Linked DNA regions of Oryctolagus cuniculus. The protein of the gene in region 2 purifies or fractionates together with the protein of the main gene of each other region. This does not show direct contact. Links are inferred from orthologs where the notes say so. Each region holds a gene or a part of one and is shown on either strand. Other genes may lie near its edges.

Region 1 (7,937 bases), on a different chromosome or scaffold from region 2:
AGCAAAGGGTGGGGGTGGGCAGGGTGGGGGTGGGCTCGGGAGGCCCCCGGACGTGTGACCGGGACGCCGAGCGCAGTCTCCTGTGGCTGTGTCTTCAACTGTGAACCCTGGCTAGGGTGTGTGTGTGTGAGAGAGAGAGAGAGAGAGAGAGACAGAGACAGAGACAGAGAGACAGAGAGACAGAGACAGAGAGAGACAGACAGAGACAGAGAGAGAGAGAGAGACAGAGACAGAGAGAGAGACAGACAGAGACAGAGAGAGAGATGCAGAGACACTGACACCCCACCCCCCCCTTCCCTGACCCCCGAGCCGGCGGAGCCCCGCCTTCCGGACACCGGGACGCATCACAGCCCTGCAACTGACGCCTCCCCCACCTTCCCAGCTCTGGATTCAGGCCAACCGCCGAAGCCGCAGGACGCCCACGAGTTCCCGACGGCGCCACCCCGACGCCGAAGCCGGCACAGCATCGGGACCTGTTCCTTGTGCCGAGCCGACACCCCGCGGACCCAGAGGCACGCGTGGAGCCCGCTAACGCAGCAGGAGACTCAGAAGGAGGCGGGAGCAAGGCAGGGCTGAGCTGCCACTCACAGAGGACAGGTGAAGCCGGGAGCGCGCCAGCCTTGGCAGAGCCGCCGGCCGAGGAGCAAGGTTATGTCTGCGACATCAGTTCACGCCCGTTAGCTGCTGGGCGTGAGTGGCCGGTAACCCTGCCTGGGCCACTCACGTCCGCGTGTGCCGCCTAGAGCCGGGCTGACCTGACCCTGCTCTGCACACCTGGGAGACCGCGTCACAGCCGCTGAGGTGGTGCCCAGCACGGGCCACGCCCTCCAAGGCACGGCGGGCGGGGGGCGCCATGCAGGGGAGCCAGCCACAGAGAACACGGCTGACCGCAGGCTGTCCCTGGAGCAGGGCTGACCCAGCCTGACCAACACCAGCTCCTGGCCACCTTCCCCTCCCTGGCCTGCAGATCTCCCGCTCTGACCATCCCCCACCATCCCCCACCACATGCCTCCCTTCCTCCTGCTGCCAGAGGGGCGGGGAGAGGGGCAGCTCACGTGAAGAGCAGGGGGTGGGGGGTGGGAGGAGTGGGCGGCTGGAAGGCACAGGGAAGGGGGCCACCTCGTGCACCATTCCGCCCTCCAGGGTGGGCGCTGCCAACGTCCGAGAGCCTCTGCCACCCCTTATAGGCCCCTGTCCTTCTTGGACGGACAGGGCAGGGTCGGGGCACCTTATCTGTCTCCGTAGCCCACGGGTGCCCTCCCTGGTCTGCAGCCTGATGAAGTCAGCTCAGGGAGGGCCCCTCGGGGCAACAGACCTGAGCCTGAGGTCTCTGGGCCCCTCCTAACTCCGCCCAAAAACTCCATCCCCGGGGCCAGCACCGTGGTGCACCGGGTAAAGCCGCCGCCTGCAGTGCCGGCATCCCATATGGGCGCTGGTTCAAGTCCCAGCTGCTCCACTTCAGTCCAGCTCTCTGCTGTGGCCTGGGAAAGCGGTAGAAGATGGCCCAAGTGCTTGGGACCCTGCACCCACGTGGGAGACCCAGAAGACGCTCCTGGCTCCCGATTTGGATTGGCACAGTTCCAGCCGTTGCAACCAATTGGGGAGTGAACCAGGAGATGGAAGACCTCTCTCTCTCTCTGTCTCCCCTCTCTCTAACTCTGTGACTTTCAAATAAATAAATAAATCTAAAAAAAAAAAAAAAAAAAAAAAACCTCCATCTATGTCCGTCTAAAACGCAGCCCCAGCAGGAGCGGGCAGAGGTCCCCCTGCCGTCCTCGGCGGTGGCCAGGGCACAGACGCGGTGAGGCCCGGGACCCAGGCGCCTGTCCGAGGAGCTGTCAGCACGTGGCCTCGGAGGGGAGCCCCCAGCAGCTGAGGGTCAGCACGTGTGGGGGCAAACTATCCCCAGTGTGTCACGACAATGACGCCTAACCAGAGCAGCCAGGAGGGTGAGGGGCCGCGGGAGCCCCCACGGGTGGGAGGCAGGGGTGACGGGCGGCGAGGGGCTGACCTCCGTGCACTTCCGTGGCCCCGGCACCCCCACAGCCCTGCTGAAGGGAGGCGGCGTCTCAGCGCCTGCCCCAAGGTGCCCACGACACAGAGCTGGGAACTCGGGCCCCGCCCAGGCCCTGCAGGCCCCAGGCTGCTTCCTTCCAAGGCCATTGTCCCGTGGGGGGCGCGTCCCCGCCCGACAGAAACCCCGGCAGCTGTGCGGAGACCCGGTCCGCGGGCGCCATGGGGGGGGGGGGGGCAAACTCTGAGCTCCTTCCTTCTCTCCTTTGAAATACAAAGGCCTGACCGCGTCCCTCGCAGAGGTCAGCAGCCTGGACAGACCGCTCCACCAGGGCGGCCTCCGCTGACGAGCCTCTGCCAGCTAACCAGTGGGCAGTTCCCGCCGGCGTTCGCGTGTTCCGCCGCGCACACACAGATGTTTGCGCAGAGAATGCGGGGGGCCTGGGCCACGAGCTCCCCCGTCTGCGGTCTCTCGGGGCCCGGCCCAGCCGCCGTCCCGGGGGACACACCTGTCCGAGGGGGACATGCTCGCCGGCCCCCCGGGGGCCCACGCCCCGCCTCGGGCCGGGTGACAGCAGCTGAGCCGGCCCCCGCAGCTCCTCCAGTCGGACCTGGACGGGGCCCAGCTGCTGCGGGCAGCGCCGGCCAGAGAAGGGGGCGCGGCCGGGGGCTCCGCAGAGGACAGAGCAGCTGATGGGATTCCACAGGCAGGAGGGAGACCGGGCCGGCGTGGGGCCTGGCGCAAGGGCGCGGCAGGCCACGCGCGTCGGGGGCTCCGCATCCGTGGGCACCACCCCGGGCGGCGGCAGGCCGGGCGAGGAGTGGGCGCCGTGGGGAGCGGCTAGGGCTCCCGCTCCCAGCGCACCTGCGGGGAGGGACCCAGGGCCGTGTGCTGTCCCCGTCCGTGCGTGTCTGTCGGTGCGGGCGCACCTGCACCTGCTGCAGCTCCGCTCACTGAACCCAAGGGGTCGGGGGCCGCTCAGGGGGCAGGGCTGGGTTTTCTACTTTTATTTAGAAAACTTGAAAACTAGAAAAGCGGTCCTGACCCCCGCCCCCCTCTTGTCCCGCCCTTCTGCGCAGGCGCAGCTAGGCGACCCTCAGCCAAGGCGACCTCGGACGCGCCAGGAGGAAGCGCCCTTCCCAGACTTGGCCGCTGCCCTTCTCAGACATGGCGGCCCCAGACGCGCCAGGGGTGAGCGCCCTTTTCAAACATGGCCGTCGCCCTTCTCAGACATGGCGGCCACGGGCGCGTCTGCGGAAATGCCCGTCTCAGACATGGCCGCCACCGCGCTCCACCACGCCGGTAGCTGACGCGCCAAGAGGCGGCCCTCAAAGAAGGCAGCCGCCCCTGTCGAACACGGAAGCCACAGTCGCGCCGAGAAAAGCAGCCCACTGCCCCTCCCGAAACCGGCGACCGAGTCACCCGAGCAGCGCCCGCGAGCTGAGTGACCCACGCAGGGCCGGGTCACGTGCCTGGGAACGCCGGCCTGCGATTGGCCGGCCGTCGTGACGTCAGACGCCGGCGGCATGTGTGAGCGCCGCGAGCCGCCGCGCCACTGCGGAGCGGTAGGCCGGGCGCGGGGCGCCGCTCACACCCATGAGGAGGCGGAAGGTGAGGGGCGGAGGCCGGCAGGGGCTGCGCCGGGCGCGCCGAGGGCCGAGCTGGGGCCGCGGGAGGCCGGGCTGAGGGGCAGCCGCGGCCTGGCCTGGCTGAGGCCCCCGGGCGGGAGTTCCGGGCCACGCCCCCGCGGGGGTCCTGCACGCCCAGGGCGAGGGGCTTCGAGCCACGCCCCCTGGAGGATGGGTGTGGGCCCGCGCGGGAGGGGGGTTTCTGGCACGCCCCCTGGAGAGGGATCTGGACCATGTTTGGGGCAGGTGCTTCTGGTCACGCCCCCCCAGGGCCCTGGACCCTGCGGGGAGGGGCTCTGGCCCCGCCTCCTGGACCCTGCGGGGAGGGGGCTCTGGTCACGCCCCCCCCGAGGGCCCTGGACCCTGCGGGGAGGGGCTCTGGCCCCGCCTCCTGGACCCTGCGGGGAGGGGCTCTGGCCCCGCCTCCTGGTTGTGGTCTCTGGACCCGCGCTGGAGGGAGGGGCTCGCCCCTGACCCGGCCTCCGCTGTCCTCGCCGCCCGGTGCGGAGCCCGGCCCCTGTCCCTGGGCTGCGGCCCTGACGGAGGGGGTGGTGGCCGAGCCCCCTCCTGCCTGTGTGCCGTCCCCTCCCCGTGGGGTTCGGACCGGAGCCCGCCTTCCCGCTGCGGCTCTGCGCCTGTGAACCCCGCGGGCCCTCCGGTCTGGGGGGGTCGGCCTGTGGACCCCGCGGGCCCTCCGGTCTGGGGGGGTGTTGGCCTGTGGACCCCGCGGGCCCTCCGGTCTGGGGGGGGGGGTGTCGGCCTGTGGACCCCGCGGGCCCTCCGGTCTGGGGGGGTGTTGGCCTGTGGACCCCGCGGGCCCTCCGGTCTTGGGGGGGATGTCGGCCTGTGGTCCCCGCGGGCCCTCCGGTCTGGGGGGGGGGTGTCGGCCTGTGGACCCCGCGGGCCCTCGGGTCTGGGGGGGGTGTCAGTCTGGGGGGGTGTCGGCCTGTGGACCCCGCCCTGTCACCGCGGACACCGCCCTGTGCGGCTCAGGAGGCGGCGAAAGCCCGTGTGGAGGCTGCGGTGGGGGGGGCTGTGTGTGAACATTGTGGGTGTGTGAGAACACTGTTCGTGTGTGTACACTGCGTGTGTATGTGCGTGTGTGAACACTGTTCGTGTGTGTACACTGTGTGCGTGTGTGGGTGCCGTGTGTGCGTGTGTGGGTGCCGTGTGTGCGTGTGTGTACACTGTGTGCGTGTGTGTATGCTGTGTGTGTACATGTGTGAACACTGCGTGTGTACGCTGTGTATGCCTGTGTATGTGCATCTGTGAATGCTGTGGGGGGGTGTGAACACTGTGTGCGTGTGTGAACACTTCATGTGTGTACACTGTGTGTGCCGTGTGTGTACACTGTGCGTGTGTGTATGCTGTGTGTGCGTGTGTGAACACTGTGTGTGGGTGTGTGTGTGAACACTGTGTGTGTGTGCCGTGTGTGAACACTGCATGTGTATGGGGACACCGTGTGTGTGTGAACACTGTGTGTGCCATGTGTGAACACTGTGTGTGTGCCGTGTGTGAAAACTGTGTGTCCCATGTGTGTACACTGCATGTGTGTGTGGACACCGTGTGTGCGTGTGTGAACACTGTGTGTGTGTGAACACTGTGTGTGTGCCGTGTGTGAAAACTGTGTGTGTGTCCCATGTGTGTACACTGCATGTGTGTGTGGACACTGTGCGTGTGTGAACACTGTGTGTGTGTGCCGTGTGTGAACACTGGGTGTGTGCCATGTGTGAACACTGTGTGTACGTGTGTGAACACTGTGTGCGTGCATGTGTGTGCGTGTGTGAACACTGTGTGGGTGTGTGTGCCATGTGTGAACACTGTGTGTGTGTGTGCCATGTGAACACTGTGTGGGTGTGTGTGCGTGTGTGAACACTGTGTGTGTGTGCAGTGTGTGAACACTGTGTGTGCGTGTGTGTGAACACTGTGGGTGTGCCGTGTGAACACTGTGTGGGTGTAGGTTGCGTCGGGGCCGCCGGCTAAGTTCTTCCCTTATACTGCTTGTGGGGTGAACCTGCCGGCCCCTCTGAGCTCTGCTTGCCTGCAAGTGTGTGTGTGCGTTGTCCTCATTATGTTTAAGGTTTTATTTACTTCTCTGAGAGGCAGAGTTAGAGAGGGGGAGGGAGGGAGAGGGAGAGAGAGGGAGGGAGGGGGAGGGAGGAGAGAGGGGGAGGGAGAGGGAGGGAGGGAGAGAGAGAGGGAGGGAGAGAGGGAGGGAGGGAGGGGGAGAGGGAGGGGGAGGGGGAGAGGGGGAGGGAGGGGGAGAAGGAGAGAGGGGGAGGGAGGGGGAGAAGGAGAGAGGGGGAGGGAGGGGGAGAAGGAGAGAGGGGGGAGGGGGAGAGGGAGGGAGACGGAGGGAGGGGGGAGAGGGGGGAGAGGGAGGGAGGGGGAGGGAGAAAGAAGGGGAGGGAGAGGGAGGGAGAGAGGGAGAGGGAGGGAGAGAGGGGGAGGGAGGGAGAGGGAGAGAGGGAGGGAGAGGGAGGGAGAGCAGTTTCCTGCTTCGGTCCGCTGGTTCACTCCCAAAATGGCCGCCCAGGCCCAAGCACCTGGGCCGTGTCTGGCCGCCTTCCCAGGCCGCGGCAGGGAGCTGGGTGGGAAGAGGAGCAGCCGGGACTAGAACCGGCGCCACGTGGGTGCCGGCGCCGCGCGGCCCTGTCTTCCGCTCTGCCGGGAGCTGTGTCGGGCCAGGATTCCTGGCTGGTGGGTGTTCCTCCCCCGAGGGCCTCGCGGCCTCCGTGCCTCGCGGCCTCCGTGCCTCGCGGCCTCCGTTGTCTTTGCCTGCAGAATCTAAAATGGCGTCGGGGATCTGTCCGCTGCCCGGCTCAGCCCCGGCGGGCGGACCCGGTTAGGCCTCCGGGAACGTCGCGGCTTTCAGGCCTCGTCTGCTGGGCTGCTCCGTCTGCTCGCTTTGCAGCAGTCTCGCCACACACAGACCCCCAGGGACAGCCCTGGGGAGCTCACACACGTCCCTGGGGGCCTGTCCCTGGGAGTGTCTGTCCCTGCGGGTCTGTCCCTAGGGGTCTGTCTCTGGGGGCCTGTCCCTGGGAGTCTGTCCCTGGGAGTCTGTCCCTGCGAGCCTGTCCCTCAGGAGGTCTGTCCCTGGGGTCTGTCCCTGGGGAGCCCTGTCCCTGGGAGTCTGTCCCTGGGGGTCTGTCCCTGGGGAGCCCTGTCCCTGGGGAGCCCTGTTCCTGGGAGTCTGTCCCTGGGGGGTCTGTCCCTGGGGTCTGTCCCTGGGAGTCTGTCCCTGGGAGTCTGTCCCTGGGGGTCTGTCCCTGGGGTCTGTCCCTGGGAGTCTGTCCCTGGGGGCCTGTCCCTGGAGGCCTGTCCCTGCGGCTGTCCCTGGGGAGCCCTGTCCCTGGGGCTGTCCCTGGGGAGCCCTGTCCCTGGGAGTCTGTCCCTGGGGGCTGTCCCTGGGAGCCTGTCCCTCAGGAGGTCTGTCCCTGGGGATCCCTGTCCCTGGGAGTCTGTCCCTGGGAGTCTGTCCCTGGGGAGCCCTGTCCCTGGGGCTGTCCCTGGGGAGCCCTGTCCCTGGGAGTCTGTCCCTGGGGTCTGTCCCTGGGAGTCTGTCCCTGGGGGCCTGTCCCTGGGGAGCCCTGTCCCTGGGGCTGTCCCTGGGGAGCCCTGTCCCTGGGAGTCTGTCCCTGGGGGTCTGTCCCTGGGGTCTGTCCCTGGGAGTCTGTCCCTGGGGAGCCCTGTCCCTGGAGGCCTGTCCCTGCGGCTGTCCCTGGGGAGCCCTGTCCCTGGGGCTGTCCCTGGGGAGCCCTGTCCCTGGGGCCTGTCCCTGGGGGCCTGTCCCTGGGAGTCTGTCCCTGGGGTCTGTCCCTGGGAGTCTGTCCCTGGGGGCCTGTCCCTGGGGAGCCCTGTCCCTGGGGCTGTCCCTGGGGAGCCCTGTCCCTGGGGCCTGTCCCTGGGAGTCTGTCCCTGGGGTCTGTCCCTGGGAGTCTGTCCCTGGGGGCCTGTCCCTGGGGAGCCCTGTCCCTGGGGCTGTCCCTGGGGAGCCCTGTCCCTGGGAGTCTGTCCCTGGGGTCTGTCCCTGGGGGCCTGTCCCTGGGAGTCTGTCCCTGGGAGTCTGTCCCTGGGGGCCTGTCCCTGGAGGCCTGTCCCTGGGGCTGTCCCTGGGGAGCCCTGTCCCTGGGAGCCTGTCCCTGGGGGCTGTCCCTGGGGCCTGTCCCTGGGAGTCTGTCCCTGGGGGCTGTCCCTGGGAGCCTGTCCCTCAGGAGGTCTGTCCCTGGGGATCCCTGTCCCTGGGAATCTGTCCCTGGGGGTCTGTCCCTGGGGCCTGTCCCTGGGAGTCT
Region 2 (7,837 bases):
CAATTTCAAGAGCGAGGAGCGACTTGCAGATCAAAACTTCTGTGAATCACCGGTCTGTGCGTTCTCTGAGATTCCTCTTCCCACCCCTCTCTCAAGGCCACTCTAGGGGCCAGCACTGTGCTGCAGTGGGTTAATGCCCTGGCCTGACCCACCGGCATCCCATATGGGTGCCGGTTCGAGACCCGGCTCCTCCACTTCCAATCCAGCTCTCTGCTATGGCCTGGGAAAGCAGCAGAAGATGGTCCAAGCCCTTGAGCCCCTGCACCCACGTGGGAGACCGGGAAGAAGCTCCTGGCTCTGGATCAGCATAGCTCTGGCCAGTGGGCCAACTGGGGAGTGAACCAGCGGATGGAAGACCTCTCTCTCTTTCTCTAACTCTGACTTGCAAATAAATAAATCTTTAAAAAAAAAAAAGGCCACTGTACTTAGGGGTTCCCCAGTTAATTGCCAAAACCACACAGGACCACAAATGGCTGCCTACTGCTAAGTCCTCCGCGCAGGTCTTAGCTCACTCAAGCTCCAGGTGGCATATGCCACGACCAATCACCTCCTCCTCAAGTCCTTGCCTCTCTTGCTAGCTCTTTCCTTTCTCCACAGCTCCAAGGCCGGACGGCCCAGGAGCTCAGTTCTCTGCTCTCTGGTCTGCACTCTACAGCTCCTTGGCAGTCCCTAGTTTCTATCTGAAGGCTGGCCCCTTCCCTTGAACCCCACTCTCATTCACCTGTCTACTTTACATCCGCGTTTAGATTCTATATAGGTGTGACAAACTTGCAGATGAAAAAGCCTATCTTCCTACAACCCAGCCTACTCTCCCAGTATCTTCCCAGCATTATTTGGTGACAACTGTATCCTTCTCATCAGGCCAAACCCTTGGAGTCGCTGTTAATTCCCCTTTTCCCATAATTCACGCTCAATCCAGCAGGAAACCCTGTTGGATCTGAGTTCCAAGTTTACCAAATCCCTTCACCACCTCACCTCTGCACTGCTTGGAGCCGCCAACATCTCTCACCTGGATTGTCAAGGTCATTTCCCATCTCAGCCCTCACCTGCTGCCTTACGTTCTTTTTAGCGCAGGAGACGGAGACCAGATTATGCCACGACTGTAAGCACCAGTGGATTTTCACCTCTCCCCAAAATAAAAGCCGGACTTGACTCCTGGTTACCTCCCTACCCTCTTTTCTTGTCTGCTCCACCTCTCTTGCCTTTACCCTGGCTGTGATCTGTTTGGGACACTCTTCCCTAAGAAATCCAAGACTCACTACCTCAACTCCTTATTTTTCTTCCAAGATCCCACCCTGAACCCTTCCATTTAAAAGCACAACCCTCACCGCCCAGCACTTAGCACTTCCTAATAAATTGCCTATGCCTACTATCTGCCTGACTTCCCAATTGAATGGAAGCCCTACAAATGCAAAGAATGCTGTCAGTCTTGTTCACTGAAATACCACCTGTGCCTACAATGGTACCTGGCAAAAGTGTGGGAAAAAATGCACTAAATGAATAGATGGATCAAGCCTCTCATTCTACCTGGCCAGATACAGGTCACCCACACCACCGACTTGAAGCTTTTGGCACCACAAGGTTTGGCTCTGGGCACACAGACTCGGGCCCAGGATCACAACTCTAAATGCCCACCCAGAACTGGGAAGGACAGGCTATAGTCAAATTGGCACCACTGGTACTTAAACTCGTAATCTATCAGAGCCACACAATTCAGTTGAGACGCTTACCTGTAGCTACATTCCTAGTTCCTAATCTTTTCTCCTGTTTAAGGCCACCTGTTGTCCTAGATGAAGGAATCATCCCTCTTGAGAAAGAACTTCACCCTGCAAAGCAGCACAAATCCCAAGTGCTGTGCCCAAACAGAAGCCCTGATCTCAACATGTTGTGACAACTCCATAATCCTAACCCAAACCCAGGTGCCTCTTCCCATGACAACCTTCTTGCTGCACCAGAGTAAACCTGAATTCTAGATTCTTTCAAAAGCAGAAAAGGAGATGGAAATGGGACGTGACAGCACGAAACGTAATTAAAATGCCGTCTAGCCTAGTCTTGTGGCTTGTAACATACCGCTACTCCAAACCTAGCTGTGGGGAATGTTGTTCTCTCACTCAGTGGGTAGCTGGACAAATTGGCCTGACACCTGGAAGGTACTCAATAAATGTCTGTGGAATGGAGAATTCAAGCTAGTGACTCACTCCAGAAATACGCACTCTGAGAGCACCACAGACATAACCAGGCTCAACTTGGTGTGAGCCAACTGCACCAATTAACGAGGCTGAGGAAGAGAAAGGAGAGCCTCGCAGTGACCCAGGTGACGCAAGGCCCTGTGCTGAGATGCCCGAGGCCTCTCCCTTTGTGGTCACTGGGGTCAGCACTGTCTCCCACTATCTGGGAGTCTCATTTCCAGTTTGGCAAGTTGATGTTAAGGAAAAGGCAGCTCAGAGTAAGACAAACCTGTCCTTAACTCAGCAGGGCTTGAGCCTTGCAGGGCTGTGAAGGTGAACCATGTGGAAACACCTGCCCCGTGCCGGGAGCCATCTTACTTCCCTTGCCCATACTAGGACCCTGCTCTGGTCCGCAGAATGACTGCTGCTGCTCTTGGTACACGCTTTCGTCTGTCCAGTGCGCCAGGCTCCTGCCGGCTCCTGGCCCCACACAGAGGTGGGTCCTTCTACCTAACACACCTCTGCCCTAATCCCGGTTCTTGCCTCTGGACACTACCAGCCCTTCTCCCCACCCTTTTAAGGAATGTTAAGGCCAAGTTCACACAACACTTCACTTTAAAACAACTGTAACTGATGTCTCTCCCCAGCTCAGCTGCAGAACTCATGGGGATGGGGAATGTTTCTGATTGGGTTGATCACGTAACCCACAAGCCTAGACAAATGAAAAGTCCGCCACACATCTAGTAAGCAGAGGCTTCCACATGAGTATCCACTGTAGTATGTACAATGGAGAAACAGCCTGCTACCTGAACTAGAATGGTTCAAGTAGGGTACCCAAAATGGGATGTCACACTCAGGAAACTGAAATCCACGCTCAAGTGTGATGGGAGAAGGCTCCAAAGAGTGCAAAGTACAGGGAGCAACGTTCCATATAACTACAAGGCTTAAACTCTGCGGAACTGGATCTGATGACAGGGACAGGATCAGGGACGGTATTTACCCACTGAAAATAGCATTTTCTACAGCGAGCAATGATTACTTGATGGTGGGAACAAGAGCTTCTTAAGAACCTTAAGGGACAGCTCCAACGCAACCTGCTCTCAGACTTCTCTAGACTTTACGGCTTATATTCAAATAACCCCACTCTCTCCTGGTCAAGACTTGGGGAGATGGTGGAGAACAAGCACTCGGATCTCTTGCACCCCCCTCCCCGCCCCGCCCAACTCCAGCGTAAAAGCTCGGTCCAGCAAGCGTTCGTGTTCAAGCACCGAACAAGGAGAGTACTCACCTAGTTTAAAACACCCAAGATGCTCAGCCCTGAATTTTAAGCAGCACATGTGACCTGGTCCATTCTGGTTTCAAGTTCAAAGGCATCAGGCCGGTCCTGTGGGTTAGCAGCTAACATGTCTTTCAAGAGCTGCTTGATCCCCTCAGACATGGAAGTCCTACGTTTCTGGGGGATGTGCAACTCCATCTTTGGGTTTTCTAGCAGCGCCTCGCCAACAGGGACGATCTCAGTGCCCTGTTTGATGTAGGTCCCCAGGAGCTCCTTCTTGGTCTCAGAGTCAATAAAAGTGATTCTCTCTATCATTGCCCAGATGATAATGCCCAGGGCAAAGATGTCCGCCTTGGCCGTGTAGTGCCCCTCCCAGACTTCGGGAGCCATGTAGAAGTCCGAGCCGCAGGCAGAGGACAGCCAGTACTTGTTCACATTCACATTTTTGTTGTCTGGATTGCCCTCTCTGCCACGGGGTGCCAGCCCGGCACAGACCTTGCTCAGTCCAAAGTCTGCCACCTTGAGGATGGGGGTGCCCGACCGCTCGGTGATGAGAATGTTGTCCGGCTTTAGGTCCCTGTGCACGATGTGGTTTTTGTGCAGGAAGGCAATGGCACTGGTGAGCTGTAGCATGAAGCTTTTGTTGGTGGCGGGATCCGGCCTCCGAGACAGGACATACTGATTCAGGTCTCCACCTTCACAGAACTCCATGACAAACCAGAGATAGCACGGCTCCTCCGCGTAGCCCAGGATCCTTTCTCCTGGATCAAAGACAGGAAGGAGCGCGAGTGAGACGGACACACGGGCACAGCACTATTAGAATAAAAGAACGCAGCGTTTTAAAGTTCAGAGTGACAGAGGTGATGAACAAGAGGTGCTCCAAGAACACCTGCATAGCAGGTACCACACCTGTGCCTTTCACACACAGGCCTGTTTCTACCCACAGCAGACAAGGTCAATACACAGGCATGAGGCTCCGATCAAGCACTGGAGTTTGGAATCAAGTTGAGGTAGGAACTCAGTTCTCTGCTGTTTGGTGGACTAAGAAGCTATGTTTTCCTTGTGTGGTCTTCAAGCAAGCAGCTCCCGCCCATCCCTCCCAGGGTACTGGCCATGACACAGGTAAGGCAAGAGAGACAGCCATTAGATGTCCACGGCTTCTGTCACTGTTACTCCGTGCCAGGCAGATGACCTTCCCTCTCCTCTCTGTTGACCTGTAGAAGGATTCTCATGAACACATCTGGACTAGCACTACCACTCTGCTTACTTCTGAATCACCCTCCAATCCATCAGTGGACTCTGCTAGCCCACCAGACGCCTAGCACGGGCTGGGCACATAAAGAGCCCCATCTACAGGAAGCTGAGTGACAAGGACCTACAACAGCGGGCCATACCTGCATCAAGGTCAACTTCTAGGAACAGTGAAGGGTGGGCAGGAGTCCCCAGGTCTGAGGACGTCATCGGCTGCAGGACAGGCAGCAGTGTAGCAGGAGGCAAGAAGGGAATTCTAGACCAAGAGACGAACTGGACAACAGAACACGGGGACAAAGGAATGGAAAGGAAGTCCGCTGGGAACAGTGGCATCTGAATTAAGTTGTGTGGTCTTGAAACTCCAGGAAAGCTGGTGACTAATTCCTCTACGTAAATCTCAACTGAGGCAGATGAGGAAGCTGGACTGCAAGGGAAGGGACCTGCCCTGCATGGTCACTGGGCATCTGGACCTCAGCCAGGACCTGAGTCCTCCAGGCCCCCGCATGCTGTACCCATTATAGCAAAAACAAGGGCTACACCTTCTCAGGAAGACTCTGCCAGAAGGTTCCTCCCACTAGACTTTTATTCGACTTTATTACAAAGAGAACCAGGTACACGACTAACCCAGTAGCCCCGGAGCTCCAGGCTGAGACCAGAGATGACCTGACATGCAAGACAAAAGCTTTAGGTTTGTGACCACAATCTGACAGGCCTCACTTCCCTTGTCATTATATAATTTTCTTGTTTCTATTACTCTCAATCAGAGTAATACAGGTAGAACCAGTTTAGGGCAGATGGGTTTCTTTTTTTAAAAAATCAGTTGCTTCCTCTCTCATAATCCTCTTTCTAGGTCATTGGCTGAGTGGGTCGAGGTGCTGGATCTAAAAACACCAGAAAATGAAGCAGCGATTTGAAACACAGATCAGCGTCAGTTGAAGAGCAAAGATCTGTTAAGGGGGAAGCAAGAAACGTCTCCTGGTGGCAAAGCCAGAAAGGAGTTTAAAAGCCATCAAATTCCTGCTGAAGGGCCTGGTCAGAAAACACTGAAACTTCGGGTGGGGGAATAAAGGGTGGGGAACGACATTATTTTATATACAAAGTTGGTAACCATGGTAACTGAAGTAGAAAGAAAACAAGTCTGCAAAACAGACTGAAGCATAGGGCTAGATTATGAGAATCCAAGGGAAGACAAAAAGGCGTGCACATACACACACTCACAAGTGCCCTGCATTAGTGAGTGGGTGGGGGAGACGGGCCCCTGGAAGGAGACGCCTGCTCTGAGTAAGTCAGCTAAGCTCAGGAGATGCTAAAGGCCGGGTGATTAAGACGCCACCTGGGACGCCTGCATCCCCTGTTGGAGGGGCTGGGTTCAAGTCGCTGCTTCACTTCAGACACCATGTGACGGCTCAATCACTCGGGTTCCTGCCACCCACGTGGGAGACCCAGATTGAGGTTCTGGCTTCCAGCTTCGGTGCTGGGGGATTGAACCGGCAGATGGAAGATATCTGTGTATCTCTCTGCCTAAAAAAAATAAATTTTTTTTGAAAAGTGAAAAGGCGGGGCCGCGTGCTGAGAGGGAAACTCTGGATAGGAGGCAGCACCATCAGACTCCATCAGTGAGCATGGCAGGAGGGAACACCGGCCGGTGCTGCTGCTTGTCCCGGAGACAAATGACTCTGCACGGAGTCTGGGTTTCAACCCCGACTCTGCCCGCTGCAGGGTGGATTCTTAGTGCAAGGAAAACGGGGAAAATGAGGAAGGGTGGAAAGGCAGTCAGAACCTCGGCAGTCCCTGAACCTCTCTGACCTCCATCCTCTCACGGATCAAACAAGACTGACACCTCCCCGACACGACCGCTGAGAGCAAGGGACGGTGCACAGTGTAAGACACTGGGACTTTGGGGATCACCAAAATCAACCTTCCCACTTGACCTTGACAGAGTCCTTGGGAGTCACCAATCTCCACAATCCTGGTGCTGCTGCCCAGAAGATCAAGATGACAATGGGAATTCCATCTAAGTTGTCCCTGTCAGGTTGTCCAAGCTGATACTTTCCAGCTGGGCCGGGCCGCTCCTTTTTTCTTTTCTTTTTTTTTTTTTTTTTAAAAAGATTGATTTATTTACTTGAAAGGCAGAGTTACAGAGAGGCAGAGGCAGAGGCAGAAAGGAGAGAGAGCTCTTCCATCCACTGGTTCACTCTCCAGATGGCCACAACGACCAGAGCTGGGCCAATCCAAAGCCAGGAGCCAGGAGCTTCCTCCAGGTCCCCCACATAGGTACAGAGGCCCAAGGACTTTGGCCATCTTCTACTGCTTTTCCCAGGCCATAGCAGAGAGCTGGATCAGAAGCGGAACAGCTGGGACTCAAACCAGTGCCTATATGGGATGCCGGCACTGTGGGCGGCAGCTTTACCCGCTATGCCACAGTGGAAGGCCCCTAGGCCACTCTTACTTGGGGCGATCCTTCCAAGTAAAAGGCCTCTCCCCTCCCCCAACTTCTGCAGAGGCAACAGGATGTACACCTTCAGGCCAGCTCCAATGCCACTCACCTTACACATGCTGTCGTCCCACGTTCTCCTCTTAAGAACCGCCAAGGCCCTGCTCTTCTACTTTATTTTTTTAAAGATTTATTTATTTGAAAGACAGAGTTACAGAGAGGTAGAGACACAGAGAGGTCTTTTTTAGTTTTTACAAAATCATACCAGATACCCTGATTAGCAGCCCACGTCTTCACTCTTCCCCTGAACGTGAGAACACGGCCAGTGTTTGGAGGTAGGCGTTAGATTTCATACTGCACCTCCCAGCTACCGCGGAGGGACCTGCCGTCAGCCACTTGCCAAGGTGACTACGCACTGGGGAAGTGAAAATGGTCAAGCTGTCTGGGACTACTAAACCTGGTCCCCAAAGGACACTGACCCCTGCAGCCCCGGCCATCACTGTGGACCACCCGTCAGGGCAGGCGGTCACAGGTAATCGATGGAGTGGCGGCTCAGGCCCTCTCACAGTGAGCTCCGGGAGTCCTCACCCTCTTTGCATTTATTTCCTGTTTCAGGATGCACAGCTAACACATGTAAAGTATTGGAAATGACCACATGAAATGCAGTGTTTTGAGTCGACACAAACACTTCAGATTTGCTTAAGTTCC

What was found. Proteins that work in one complex are often made in the same cells at the same time.
Region 1: the proteins of STK35 (region 2) and C7H1orf174 purify together in Homo sapiens (affinity purification with mass spectrometry; 3 studies listed by BioGRID and IntAct, counting the BioPlex papers as one, with this or other methods). This does not show direct contact. The link is inferred for Oryctolagus cuniculus from reciprocal best matches to the Homo sapiens genes STK35 and C1orf174.

Annotation. Positions count from the first base shown.
Region 1 is NC_091438.1:162,668,027-162,675,963, forward strand, and holds the start of C7H1orf174 (UPF0688 protein C1orf174 homolog), read left to right. Parts: upstream 1-3,467; 5' UTR 3,468-3,610; coding exon 3,611-3,625; intron 3,626-7,937.
Region 2 is NC_091442.1:27,787,549-27,795,385, reverse strand, and holds part of STK35 (serine/threonine-protein kinase 35), read right to left. Parts: intron 4,206-7,837; coding exon 3,493-4,205; 3' UTR 3,457-3,492; intron 1-3,456.